Linked DNA regions of Anolis sagrei. The protein of the gene in region 1 purifies or fractionates together with the protein of each later gene. This does not show direct contact. Links are inferred from orthologs where the notes say so. Each region holds a gene or a part of one and is shown on either strand. Other genes may lie near its edges.

What was found. The genes of interacting proteins can lie anywhere in the genome.
Region 2: the proteins of WRAP53 (region 1) and MDC1 purify together in Homo sapiens (affinity purification with western blotting, with the first as the bait; 3 studies listed by BioGRID). This does not show direct contact. The link is inferred for Anolis sagrei from reciprocal best matches to the Homo sapiens genes WRAP53 and MDC1.

Annotation. Positions count from the first base shown.
Region 1 is NC_090026.1:5,549,351-5,557,270, reverse strand, and holds the start of WRAP53 (telomerase Cajal body protein 1), read right to left. Parts: upstream 3,007-7,920; 5' UTR 2,959-3,006; intron 2,946-2,958; exon of another isoform or gene 2,922-2,945; intron 2,910-2,921; exon of another isoform or gene 2,836-2,909; intron 1-2,835. Other genes in the region: thialysine N-epsilon-acetyltransferase-like, read left to right, coding at 5,000-5,065, 5,354-5,405, 6,137-6,220. UniProt on the Homo sapiens protein: RNA chaperone that plays a key role in telomere maintenance and RNA localization to Cajal bodies. Specifically recognizes and binds the Cajal body box (CAB box) present in both small Cajal body RNAs (scaRNAs) and telomerase RNA template component (TERC).
Region 2 is NC_090022.1:21,663,292-21,670,258, forward strand, and holds the start of MDC1 (mediator of DNA damage checkpoint protein 1), read left to right. Parts: upstream 1-3,913; 5' UTR 3,914-4,240; coding exon 4,241-4,364; intron 4,365-6,967. UniProt on the Homo sapiens protein: Histone reader protein required for checkpoint-mediated cell cycle arrest in response to DNA damage within both the S phase and G2/M phases of the cell cycle.

The sequences.
Region 1 (7,920 bases):
GTATGATATCACCCACTTTTTGCTTGATATTCAAGCAGTGCTTCTTGTAGGTCAGATAACTGTCCAGGGTAACTCCCAGGATTCCTTCCCAGGTCCATCGTTAAATACCAGAAAGGATGTCATGTAAATAAGGGCAAGGTTGTTTTATGCTGCTCCAGGGTCTAGGACACAAATTAGTGGATTCAAGTTACAAGAGAACAAGTTGTGCCTAAATATTAGAAAGGATTCCCTCATAATAATGTCTCATTAAGAGCCACATCTACTGTTTTAGCGTGGTGAGATGTGTTCCACACCGGGCATGCATACTCAGCAGCAGAGTAGCATGTGATAATAACGCTTAACGATTTTTAATCTACTGTTCTATTCATTGTTTTATATTATCATTATTATTATTATTATTAACTTTATTTATACCCCGCTAACATCTCCTGAAGGACTCAATGTGGCTTACAAAGGCCAAGGCCGCCAACAAAACAACAACATAACAATACAGCAGTAAAACTCATAAAGCAAACAATAAACATCAAGCAAAAATAAACACTAAAAACAATGACACCATGATGCATTTAAAACCTAAGGCCGGGCCAATGTAATGAACAAAATTTAAAAGTGCTGGATATGACAGGTGAAATGTAGAGGTTTTGGAGGTAGGTGCAATGTGCAGACAATCCTAAATCTCTAACAAAGTGCATTTGGGACATGATGCCAGGAGTTTCCTATTCTGGAAAGGCACACTGGAACAGCCAAATCTTCAGGCTCTTCCTAAAGACTGCCAACTTTGGGGCTTGTCTGATGTCCTTGGGGAGAGAGTTCCAGAGTCGGGGGGCCACCAGAGAAGGCCCTGTCCCTCGTCCCCACCAAACGCGCTTGCGACGCAGGTGGGATTGTGAGCAGGGACTCTCCAGATGATCGAAGGGATCATGTGGGTTCATATATGGAGATGCGGTCATGCAGGTAGTCGGGTCCCAAACCATTTAGGGCTTTGTAGGTGAGCACCTGCACCTTGAATTGAATTGCTGTTATTTGTTATATTTGGGGCATCGAATTGTTGCCAGTATAAGACGCTCTGAGTCCCTGTCCCCCCACAGGGGTTTTTGAAGAGGGGGGTAAAAATGTAGTAAATAAATAATAAAATAATAAATATTTTTCTATGACTCTCTAGGCCACAGATGGGGTACAATAGTGAAAACATAACATCATTTTAATGCATATATTAAAATACAAGCATAAGATGAAAACACATTAAAACCATAAGATATATACACATTGGTTAGACTTAAGAGCGACACTGTCATGAATGACTTTTCAATAACTTTGAAGCATAGGTTCTTTTTATTGCAATTTCCAGTGTGAGAAGATATATCAGATTATAGAAAACATTTAGACAAAGAATTACATTGGACATACAGACATACAGATTCTATGCAACTACATTGGATTCACAATTACATTGGTTAACAAACAAACATAGGAGAATTACATTTTCACTCAGCATTCACACACATGTACATGCATTCATCCACATGCATCCAAATATTACCATATCATTTTCTCCCTCCTTGGAGAAGCACCTCTTAGGCCAGACCCTGCTTTCCTGCAGCCTACCTTAGGGAAGGCTGAGCGAAGGAAGATAGATGCTTTTGAGTTGTGGTGTTGGAGGAAAGTTCTGAGAGTGCCTTGGACTGCGAGAAGATCCAACCAGTCCATCCTCCAGGAAATAAAGCCCAACTGCACATTGGAGGGAAGGAGACTCGAGACAAAGTTGAAGTACTTTGGCCACATCATGAGGAGACAGCAAAGCCTAGAGAAGACAATTATGCTGGGGAAAGTGGAAGGCAAAAGGAAGAGGGGCCGACCAAGGGCAAGATGGATGGATGGCATCCTTGAAGTGACCGGACTGACCTTGCAGGAGCTGGGGGTGGTGACGGCCGACAGGGAGCTCTGGCGTGGGCTGGTCCATGAGGTCACGAAGAGTCGGAGACGACTGAACGAATGAACAACAACAAACCAACGCATAGTTCCATAACTTCAAACGCTGAGATGCCAAAACTTCTTTCCCTAAGAACAGTGCCAAGGACCAGACCTCTGTTTTCCATACAGCAGAACTTGACTCCCTGCATAAAATCTAAGACTCCAAAAGGGCACTTCTTCCTCTTCCCTTGAGAAAGAAGCCCCAAAATGTCCAGAATCATGCTTTCCCATAGCATATCTGGCACTCTCTGAATACACCACCTCTGTCCTTCCCATGGAGCAGAGCATGGCGGGTGGATCAGACTCCTCGGTCTGTCACGATTTGAGCATTATTAGCCTGAGTCTTTTATAGGAAAATTCTGTTGATGTAGTCCCAAAGTTGTAAATTAATGATAGACGTCTTCCATCCTGGATCCATCTCAGTGTTGATCTTCTTGATTGGTGTTAACAAACACAAGGCTTAGTGTTGATCTTACACAAGACTTCCTTCTTAACATAAGGCATGTTGCAAACATTTCCTTTATCACTGTCCCAGTTCTTATCAGGGTTTCTCATTAGCAAGTCCAGCAAGCAGGTAGTTAGTCATTGCAGGCCTTAATATTATACTGGTGTTTCCAAAATTATTAGCTCTATCCATACATCCTTCCATTCATTCCCACACATCATTTTAAATTCACATTTATCAAATTTGCACACTGAATTTCTTATTACAACACAAGACTCCTCATTTTTCTCTTTTACAAGAAAGCAAACTAAGATGGATCCCTCTCTAAGTTCTACGCAATAGCAATGAGGGCCCCAATTAGAATATCAACGATATCAGTTAATAATGCCAAACAATAATGCAGATACTGTAATTAATACCTTTCTACATGCGGATTCCCTGGAGCAGTTCCTTTTATCTGCTCCAGAGAATGCAGAGAAGAGGGAAAAGTGTCCCCAAAACTTACAATCTCTCTGCTTAGCAAGATCAAAACACAAACTCACGTGGGGACTGTGGAGGCCGCCATGACACCCCTGGCTCCGCCCACTTTTCCTCCCGGCTGGCTCACCCAGATCTCGCGGGAGCCAGGCGAAAGGGCGTAGAGCTCTCGCGAGACCTCACTCCTTAAAGGGCAACAGGAACTAGAAAACACACCCACGTGGATGCATCTGGGAGTAATGCAGTTTGGCACTACTTCAACTACTATGGCTCAATGCTATGGAATTTTAGGTTCTACACTAAAGAGAACCAAATGACAGTGCTCAGGACTAAATAGCATTGCACCATGGCAGCTAAAGTGGGATCAAAGTGCATTAAATCTGCAGTGTAGATTAGCCCTGAGCTCTAAACACTAGGGCTCCATCCATGCTGCCATATCTATTATCTCTGCAGTGGGTTAAAGCACTGAGCTGCTGACCGAAAGGGAATCCAGGGAGTGGATTCCAGGGAGTGGGGTAAGCTCCTGCTGTCAGCCCCAGCTTCTGCCAAACTAGCAGTTCAAAAACATGCAATGCGAGTAGATCAATAGGTACTTCTCCGGCGGGAAGGTAACTGTGTTCCATGCAGTCATGCCAGCCACGTGACCTTGGAGTTATCTACAGACAACGCCGGCTCAGCTTAGAAATGGAGATGAGCACCACACCTCAGAGTCAGACACAATGTCAGGGGAAAACCTTTACCTTTCTATCTATATCTATCTCTTCTATCTATCTATATACACATCTTCTATATGCACAAATATATGTTGTTCATTTGTTCAGTCGTCTCCGACTCTTCCTGACCTCATGGACCAGCCCACGCCAGAGCTCCCTGTCGGCCGTCACCACCCCCAGCTCCTTCAAGGTCAGTCCAGTCACTTCAAGGATGCCATCCATCCATCTTGCCCTTGGTCGGCCCCTCTTCCTTTTGCCTTCCACTTTCCCCATCATCATTCCCTTCTCTAGGCTTTGCTGTCTCCTCATGATGTGGCCAAAGGACTTCAACTTTGTCTCTAGTCTCCTTCCCTCCAATGAGCAGTCAGGCTTTATTTCCTGGAGGATGGACTGGTTGGATCTTCTCGCAGTCCAAGGCACTCTCAGCACTTTCCTCCAACACCACAGCTCAAAAGCATCGATCTTCCTTCGCTCCGCCTTCCCTAAGGTCCAGCTCTCACATCCGTAGGTGACTACAGGGAAGACCATGGCTTGGACTAGGCAATGGATCTTGGTTGCCAGTCTGATGTCTCTACTCTTTACTATTTTATTGAGACTGGACCTTGCTCTCCTCCCAAGAAGGAAGCGTCTTCTGATTTCCTGGCCACAGTCTGCATCTGCAGTCATCTTTGCGCCTAGAAATACAAACCCTGTCACGGCCTCCACATTTTCTCCCACAATTTTCCAGTTGTCAATCATTCTTGTTGCCATAATCTTGGATTTTGGATGTTCAGCTGCAACCCAGCTTTTGCGCTTTCTTCTTTCACCTTGATTAGAAGGCTCCTCAAATATATACACACACACAAAACACATATATACAGACTGGAACACAGCAATGCGTGGCAGGGGATGGCTAGTATATATATCTGCCATGTAATGCAGTTAACCATATTATGAAATTGCATTATATAGTGGAGTGTAGATGGGGACCTGCATTGAATGGCATTATGAATCTGCATTGAATGGCATAATATGAGTCTGTACTGACCATACAATGCAGTTTCACACTGCATTACATGGCAATACAGATGGGTTCCAGCTTAACAGATTTTCCAAGAGCCATTGAGAGTTATAACAAGCCAAGGAAAGTCCATTTACATCACTAACCAACCCTGTAACTCATTTATATGCCAGCTTCTGGGGCCAAAACTAAGTACAACAGCACCCTTTGAACCTTGCTATGGATCCATCTTCCTTGTTGGGTTTCCAAGCGTATCCCCAAAATTAATAACTGACCAAAATTAATAGGTGCAAGGAGGGGGTGCCCATTGAAGGGGAACGCTTAGTTTTTAACTGGAGTCAGCTTTCTTTAACCAGATCAGAGTCCAAATTGGAAGGAGACAAGATCAGAGCCATGATGAACTGCATCATCCGTCCCTGGGCCGTAAGGGATCTTAAGGAGGTCATGCGGCTTATTCGGGTGAGAAATTTCAGGGGTTTAAAGCTCTGTTTTGGCATCAGAATGACAATTTGGACATGTGCCTCAACTACAAAACCCATACTCCCCTTGGTGTGTCATACTGGATGATGGGTTTTGTACTCCAGGTGTATCTCTCTCTCTCCTCCCCCACCTTCCAATTCTCAACAGGGATCAATTGAGGAATTCTCTGGGGTTCTGGGCTTTACGCATTTGGAGAGGGTCAAACTAGATGACCTCCAGAGACCCCTTTCTCATTTCCATTTCCATTACAACTTACTCTCTTTCCAGGAATCTGCGGCTTTCCACAAAGCTTTGGACCAAGTGACGACCACCACAAAAAGTAAGGAATGGCTTATATTTATTTTTTTTCTAGTTGGGTTGTTGTAGGTTTTTTCGGGCTGTATGGCCATGGTCTAGAGGTACTCTCTCCTGACATTTCGCCTGTATCTATGGCAAACATCCTCAGAGGTAGTGAGGTCTGTTGGAACTAGGAAAAAGGGTTTATATATCTGTGGAATGACCAGGGTGGGACAAAGGACTCTTGTCTGCTGGAGCTAAGTGTGAATGTTTCAACTGACCATCTTGATCAGCATACAATGGGCTGACTGTGCCTGGAGCAAACTTTTGTTGAGAGGTAATTAGATGTCCTTGTTTGTTTCCTCTCTGTTGTTGTGCTGTTGCAATTTTAGAGTAGCCAAATTTTGTTCATTTTCATGGTTACCTCCTTTCCGGCCATGAAAGCCTTCGACAATACATTTTTTCTAGTTATTTGGAGTTTTGCTATGGCTTCTAACCAACTTGCAAGAAACGAAGCTCAAAGCCAGATTCCCTAGCATACAACGAGTGCATCTACACTATAGAATTAATGCAGCTTCACCCCACAAATGCTCAAAACTATGGGATCCTGGGAATTGTAGAAAATTGTGTATTTTGATGTTGAACGCATATATTTTGATGCCGTGTGGCTTTCAAGAAAGGCCATTCATATTTTGTCAATTCCAGAACCGTACGAAGCTATGTAAATGCATATGTTTTATATATAGTGCTTAACATTGCCTTATTTATTGGTAGATTTCCAAGAAGATGGCTTTGGGAAAGAGCCCACTTTCGGGTGCCTGGTTGCTGAGCTGCCCCCGGGAGAAAAGACCAAAGGAGGTACGATCAGGGCGGGAAAACCATTCTGGATTACTATATTTGGGATAACTCTGAGGCTGAGAGAGTGTGACTTGTCCCAAAGTTTCTCAGTGAGTTTCCATAGCCAAGCAGACATTCAAAACCTGGTTTTGCAATCCAAATCAGTCACTTAAATCCTTACTGGCTCTCATAATATACCTTATACTAGGCATGGGCAAACTTGGGCCCTCCAGGTGTTTTGGACTTCAACTCCCATAATTCCTAACATCCGGTAGGAGAGGAGACATGATAGCTATGAATATGTGAGATGAAGTCATAGAAAGGAGGGAGCTTGTTTTCTGCCTCCCTGGAGACTAGGATGCGGAACAATGGCTTCAAACTACAAGAAAGGAGACCCTAAACATTAGGAAGGACTTCCTGACTGTGGGAGCTGTTCACCAGTGGAACTCTCTGCCCCAGAGTGTGGTGCAGCCTCCTTCTTTGGTTTCAAACTACAAGAAAGGAGATTCCACTTGAAGATTAGGAAGAACTTCCTGACTGTGGGAGCTGTTCATCAGTGGAACTCTCTGCCCCAGAGTGTGGTGGAGCCTCCTTCTTTGGCTTCAAACTACAAGAAAGGAGATTCCACCTGAACTTTAGGAAGAACTTCCTGACTGTGAGAGCTGTTCAGCAGGGGAACTCTCTGCCTCAGAGTTTGGTAGAGGCTTCTTCTTTGGAAGCTTTTAAACAGAGGCTGGATGGCCATCTGTCAGGGGTGATTTGAATGCAATATTCCTGCTTCTTGGCAGAATGGGGTTGGACTGGATGGCCCATGAGGTCTCTTCCTACTCTAGGATTCCATGATTCTACTAGCCATCCCCTGCCATGTGTTGCTGTGGCCCACTCTGGTGGTCAAAGGGATTCTGTGTGGGAGGTTTGGCCCAATTCTATCGTTGGTGGTTTTCAGAATCCTCTTTGATTGTAGGTGAACTATAAATCCCAGCAACTACAACTCCCAAATGTCAAGATTCATCTTGGAAAGAAGTGACAAGTGGAGTGCCGCAGGGTTCCGTCCTGGGCCCGGTCCTGTTCAGGATCTTTCTTCATGACTTAGATGAAGGGCTAGAAGGCATGATCATCAAGTTTGCAGACGACACCAAATTGGGAGGGAGAGCCAAGACTCCAGAGGACAGGGGCAGGATTCAAAACGATCTTGACAGATTAGAGAGATGGGCCAAAACTAACAAAATGAAGTTCAACAGCGACAAATGCAAGATACTCCACTTTGGCAGGAAAAATGAAATGCAAAGATACAGGATGGGGGAGGCCTGGCTCGAGAGCAGTACGTGTGAAAAAGATCTTGGAGTCCTCGTGGACAACAAGTTAAACATGAGCCAACAATGTGACGTGGCGGCAAAAAAAGCCAATGGGATTTTGGCCTGCATCAATAGGAGCATAGTGTCTAGATCTAAGGAAGTAATGCTACCCCTCTATTCTGCTTTGGTTAGACCACACCTGGAATATTGTGTCCAATTCTGGGCGCCACAATTCAAGAGAGATGTTGACAAGCTGGAATGTGTCCAGAGGAGGGCGACTAAAATGATCAAGGGTCTGGAGAACAAGCCCTATGAGGAGCGGCTTAGGGAACTGGGCATGTTTAGCCTGAAGAAGAGAAGGCTGAGAGGAGATATGATAGCCATGTATAAATATGTGAGAGGAAGCCACAGGGAGGAGGGAGCAAG
Region 2 (6,967 bases), on another chromosome or scaffold:
GTGGGTGGCTGATATGTGCCCTGGTAGTTATTCAGAGTGTCAGCTGTAGATTGTTCCCTATTGAGGATTTAAGAACAGTTGTATATACACATACTGACTGGGAACAAGGACTTCTGAATTTGTATATTGCCAGCACGAACATATGTGCAATATAAACTCTTATTATTATGGTGTGCCTTTAGGTCATTTCTGACTTATAATGACCCTAAAGTAAGCTACCTCAGGGTTTTATGGGGCTGAGAGTATGCGACTTAGATAAAGTCACCCTGTGGATTTCCATGGCTGAATGCGGATTAGAATCCTGGTATCCAAAATCATAATCCAACGTCCAAAGGATTACATCAGGTTTAAAGTCAACACATTGCATTGCCTGTTACTTTTCTGATACTTTTCATTACTTTGAATAAATAAATATTTCAAAATAATGATATAAACATTTAAAAAATCATATGTAATGCTTCTAACATTGCTCATTCACTAATGGAGCAACTTTGTTTCCATTGTTTGTGCTACTTACCATATGTAGCTTTGCGACAGGAAACGGTGTTACTCATAATGTGTTAACCTTCAACCCACAAGTCTTCCCCTGCTACAAGCCTCCTCAGCCACCTCTCTTCGCTGTTGAGAGTTAGAGTTTAATCAGTGGAATTAGTGAAGTTTGATACCACCTTAACTGCCATGGTTTAGTGCTATGGTATCCTAGTAGTTGTAGTTCCCTCTTGTCCTTTGCTGAATGTAGCATTTGTTGGATTTTCTTAGTGGATCTGTAGATTGTGTTTCTTCATCAGCTTCACTATGTGGTCAGTGGTTCCCTTGATGTATGGCAAGAACACTTTTCCTCTGAGTGGATCTTTGTCTTGACTCTCATGGCTTGTTCTTGGTCTTTCAGCACTTCTGATGTCTAAGGTGGAGTATCCATTGGCCTGTAGAGCCCAGTTTAGGTGGTTTGGTTCACCTTGGTGGAGGTGGGCTTCGCAGATTCTTTTTGCATGGTCTGTCAAGGCTTTAATGGTGCTTCTTTTTTTACTTGGGTGATGGTTGGAGCTTTTATGCAGGTATCTATCTCTGTGTGTAGGTCTTCTGTAAACTGTGTGGACCAATTGTTGGTTGGGCTTTCAGATGACTAGGACATCTAGAAATGGCAGTTTTCCTTCTTTTTATTTTTCCATGGTGAATTGGATGTTGGGGTGGATGCTGCTGAGGTGGTCCAGGAACTTATTTCTTTATTTGTTTGTTTAGAGTATTTACTATATTCCACCCTTCTCACCCCGCAGGGGACTCAATGTGGATTACAATGCACATATACATGGCAAACATTCAAAGCCAATTAATATGCAACATATAAACAGACAAAGAGGCAATTTTAACATTCCACCTTCCCGGCTTCATATCTGCTTTGAACTGGATTATCTGAGGTCACACTGCCATATAACCAGTTCAAAGCAGATAATATGGGATTTTATACAGCTGTATGGAAGGGGTCTGATTCATGCAATTATGGTACATGGTGAATGGTAGGAAAACCCACCTGCAGTGATCAGCTGTGATTTTTATTTTATTTTCATGTGAAAAATGGTTTCACCTGGTAATGCCCACTCCTGTCCTTAAAAACCCATTAAATGCAATTATAATTGTACTGTATTTTAATTTTATGTCCAGGACACAAATATAATAATAATAATAATAATAATAATAATATATTTATTTACAGCTTTTATATTCCACCCTTCTCATCCCACAGGGGACTCAAGGTAGATTACAGTGTACACATATATGGCAAACATTCAATGCCAATTTTGATGTGCAGACATATACAGACTTACACAGAGGCTATTTAACCTTTTCTGGCCACCAGGGGAGCTGTCGCTTTCATCGTCCATCTGCGATGCTGATGAAGTACCTCTGCATTCCTTGCATGCTTCCCCACTGGAGTGCTTCTTTATGGCCTCATAAATTAGTTAATTTTAGCCTCCCCACACTTTTAAGGTGGTACCTTATTTTCCTACTTGAAAGATGCAACTGTCTTTCGGGTTGCAAAGGTTGACAACGGGCTACACAATGGTTGGAAACCCACTCCAATCTGGGCTGGCTTCGAACTCATGACCTTTTGGTCAGAGTGATCTTAATGCAGCTGACACTCAGCCAGCTGCGCCACAATCCCAACAACAACAATTTATTTATTTATTTATTTCGAGGTTTTATATACCGACCCTCTCACCTTCAAAGAGGGATTCGGACCGGTTCACAACATGTGTTAACATACAAAAAATATACAACAACAACAACAAAAACAACAACATGGATGTGGCTAACAAATTGAACTTTGAAAAGGAAACTGGGGGCCTGATTCTTGCAGCCCAAATGCCATTAAAGCCAGAACTGAAAAGTCGATGACAGATCCCAAGTGTACACTCTGCAAGAAGATTGTGCAGATGGACTACAAGCAGAGGCATAACATCTTGCTCAGATGATCCACTGGAACTCGTGCCACAAATACCATCTGCCTGCGACAACGAACTGGTGGGATCACAAGCCTGAAAATGTTACAGAAAACGAACATGTCAGACTACTCTGACACTTTCAAATTCAGAGTTTTGGAGCACAATAGTCCTGACCTCATGATCGTGAAAGTATGGATCATCGATGTTGCAATCCCAGGTGACAGCAGAATTGACAAGAAGCAACTGGAAAATCTGACACAATATGAAGATTTAAGATAGAACTGCAAAGACTCTGCCACAAGCCAGTAAAGTTGGTCCCAGTGGTGATCGACACACTGGGTACGGTGCCTAAAGACCTTGGCTTGCACTTAAAAACAATCAGCACTGACAAAATTACCATCTGCCAACTGCAAAAGGCTACCCTACTTGGATCTGCACGCATTATTCACCAATACATCAGACAGTCCTAGACACTTGGGAAGTGTCCAACGTGTGATCCAATACAACAGCCAGCAGTGATCTTGTTTGCTGTGTACTAATCTTGTTGTGTTTCAAATAAATAATAATAATTTTGTATTTGCTTTGTTTTATATTGTTATTGGGTCATAGAATCCTAGAATCCTAGAGTTGGAAGAGACCTCATGGGCCATCCAGTCCAACCCCCTGCCAAGAAGCAGGAATATTGCATTCAAATCACCCCTGACAGATGGCCATCCAGCCTCTGTTTAAAAGGTCGTGTAAGTTGCCTTGATTCCCTATGCAGAGAAAGGTGGGGATAGAAATTAAGTTAATAATAATAATTAACGGGCCAGGAAAAATATTGATTGCGGTGCATCCACACTGTAGACTTAACACAGTTTGATACCAGTTTAACTTCCTTGGGGAATTTCTATGGAATCTGGCAAGTTGTGGTTTTAGCAGGCCTTTAGCCTTCTCTGCCAAAGTGGACTGGTACTTACCCAAACTACAAAGCCCAGGACAGTTAAAGCGGTATCAAACTGTGTTAAGTCTACAGTGTGGATGCACCGCAATTAATATTTTTCTTACAGTGCAGATGCAATGATGTAGAGATAAGAAACATTGTTTTAAAATTAAGAAAAAAATAACCGAGGAGTGGTTGTGCCCGTGTATACAAAACCCGCGGATACGGAGGGCCGTCTACCCGCGGATACGGAGGACAGGCTATTGCATTGACTCTCCATGTATTGCATTGACTGTATACTTCCACCCTCTCGCTCGGAGGCCAAACAAAATGGCCGCCGCCGTGAAGTCAAAGCCGGAAACCCTATGTCTGAAGCAACTCTATGCTACTGGGCTTACGCTCTAGGCTGGACATTTCCTGTCTCTGTGATTTTCCGTCGCTTATATTGGATCGGAAAAGAGCGAGGCCGGGCCGTTTACTCCCCGCCAACCATTGAAATAAATCAACCAATCGTCGGACGGGAAGCGTTTAAAGTGGCAGCCTCGGTATCCAATAAGAAAAGGGTCCTGCGCAAAAGAAGGCGGGGCGCACGAAAATTGGATGCCGGAGTGCTATTTGGGGGAGCGGAGACCCCTTTCAATAGGTTCAAATGGGAAAGAAAAAGGCGGGAGTTAGATTTAAAGGGACAGGCACCTAAAAATAAGAAAGACTTAGGTGCATAGGTGTGTGTGGGCTAGCCATTAGGATATAATTGGAAGCAGGATATCAAGGCTATCAAAGGAATAATGCAAGGAGATGGATACAGATGAGGTTTGGAAAGGCAAAGGGAAGGAGTAACATTGTACCTACATATATATAGCTATATAGTTATTGCAAAATGGAGCAAACTCAGTTGTTGGACTGGGACGAGGAAGGGGATCCCAATGAGGCTTCTCATGGGAATACCCCCAAACCTGTTGGGCGCCTGCACCTTTTGAGCAGCAAATATGGCCCTGAAAAAGGTAAGGATGTCTACAATTAATGCCTTTATATTTATTAACATTGTGTATGTATATTTTATTTATATGCCACCTTTCTCCCAAAGTGGGATGCAAAGGTGACTTGCAAATACATTAAATTGCAAGGTTTCCAACACATTTTATTATATGCATTTATATTATTGTATTTATATGCTCCCTTTCCCCCAAAGTGGGATGCAAAGGTGGCATGCAAATACATTACATTGAAAGGTTTATACCACATTTTATTATATGTATTGATATTATTTTATTTATATGCCAGTTTTCTCCCAAAGCGGGGCACAAGAATGGGAAAACGTTATTTGCCGACTTTCTCTCAAAGTGCAATGCAAAGGTGGCTTGCTAATACATTACATTGAAAGGTTTCCAACACGTTTTATTATATGCATTTATATTATTGTATTTATATGCCAGCTTTCCCCCAAAGTGGAATGCAAAAGTGACTTGAAAATACACGAAATAGAAAGGCTTCCAACACATTTTATTATATGCGTTGATATTATTGTATTTATATGCCACCTTTTCCCCAAAGTGAGATACAAAGGTGGCAAGCAAATACATTACATTGAAAGGTTTATACCACATTTTATTATATGTATTGATATTACTGTATTTATATGCTACCTTTTCCCCAAAGAGAGATACAAAGGTGGCTTGCAAATACACTAAATTGAAAGGTTTCCAACACATTTTATTATATGTATTGATATTATTGTATTTATATGCCACCTTTCCCCCAAAGTGGAATGCAAAAGTGACTTGAAAATACATTAAATTGAAAGATTTCCGACACATTTTATTGTATGCATTTATATTATTATATTTATATGCCACCTTTTCTCCAAAGTGAGATACAAAGGTGGCTTGCAAATACATTACATCAAAAGGTTTCCAACACATTTTATTATATGCATTGATATAATTGTATTTATATGCCACCTTTTCCCCAAAGTGGCATGCAAAGGTGGCTTAAAAATACATTACATTGCAAGGTTCCCAACACATTTTATTATATGTGTTGATATTATTGTATTTATCTGTCAGCTTTCCCCCAAAGTGGGATGCAAAAGTGGCTTGCAAATACATTAAATTGCAATGTTTCCAACACATTTTATTATATGCATTGATATTATTGTATTTATATGCCAGCTTTCTCCCAAAGTGGGACACAAGAATGGGAAAACGTTAAATTAGGTGGCTTGCAAATACATTAAACTGAAAGGTTTCTAACACATTTTATTGTATGTATTGATATTGTTGTGTTTATATGCCAGTTTTCAACCAGAGTGGGATGCAAAGGTGGCTTGCAAATACATTAAACTGAAAGGTTTCCAACACATTTTATTATATGTATTAATATTATTGTATTTATATGCCAGTTTTCTCCCAAAGTGGGGCACAAGAATGGGAAAACGTTATTTGCCGACTTTCTCCCAAAGTGCAATGCAAAAGTGACTTGCAAATACATTAAATTGAAAGGTTTCAAACACATTTTATTATATGTATTGATATTATTGTATTTATATCCCACCTTCTCCCAGAGTGCGATGCAAAGGTGGCTTGCAAATACATTACATTGAAAGGTTTCCAACACATTTTATTATATGTAGTGATATTATTGTATTTATATGCTACCTTTTCCCCAAAGAGAGATACAAAGGTGGCTTGCAAATACACTAAATTGAAAGGTTTCCAACACATTTTATTATACGTATTGATAATATTGTATTTATATGCCAGTTTTCTCCCAAAGTGGGACACAAGAATAGGAAAACATTAAATTAGAGTGGGGCGCAAGGCAGCTTGCAAATACATTAAATTAAAAGGTTGTTGTTGTTGTTATTAACAACTGTATTTATACTCTGCCTTTCCCGCTGTAGGGACTCAAGGCAGTTAACAAACCCACACTTTTAAAAGCTCATTACAAAAGTTACAAAACAATTAAATCGTACAGTGTGGTAGAGACATATTAAAACATTACCAATACACTTAAAATAGTCTTTACAACTAAATTGTATTTATTGATATTGTTTCATTTAGATGCCACTCTTTCACCCAAGGTGGCTTGCAAAAACATGATTCCACGGCATTGGGCCATTGGAGTTAAAGTGGTGTCAAACTGCATTAATTCTATAGTGTAGATGCACCCTAAGAATGGGGCTATGCCAGGCATGGGTAAACTTGGGCCCTCCAGGTGTTTTGGACTTCAATTCCCACAGTTCCTAACTGTTATGATTTGAGGGAGTTTTATTTTGAACACTTATACCCCATCCATTCTCGACCTCCAGGGAGAGACTCAGGACGGCTACCTACAGGCAACAATTCGATTCCGAGACAATATAAACACATAATAAATACCTAAATATAAATATAAATATACATTAAAACAGTTGATGTCCAAAACACCTAGAGGGCCAAAGTTTGCTCATGCATGGGTTATGCTGCTTGTTTACAAAAGCCCTTCAGAAGTTTGCATAGAGAGCAAAACTGAAATCCTGTTGGATTAATTAATTAGTTTATTTTATTTACATATTTATACTCTGCTTTTCTCACCCCTGGGGAGACTCTAAGCGGTTTTAATCCCA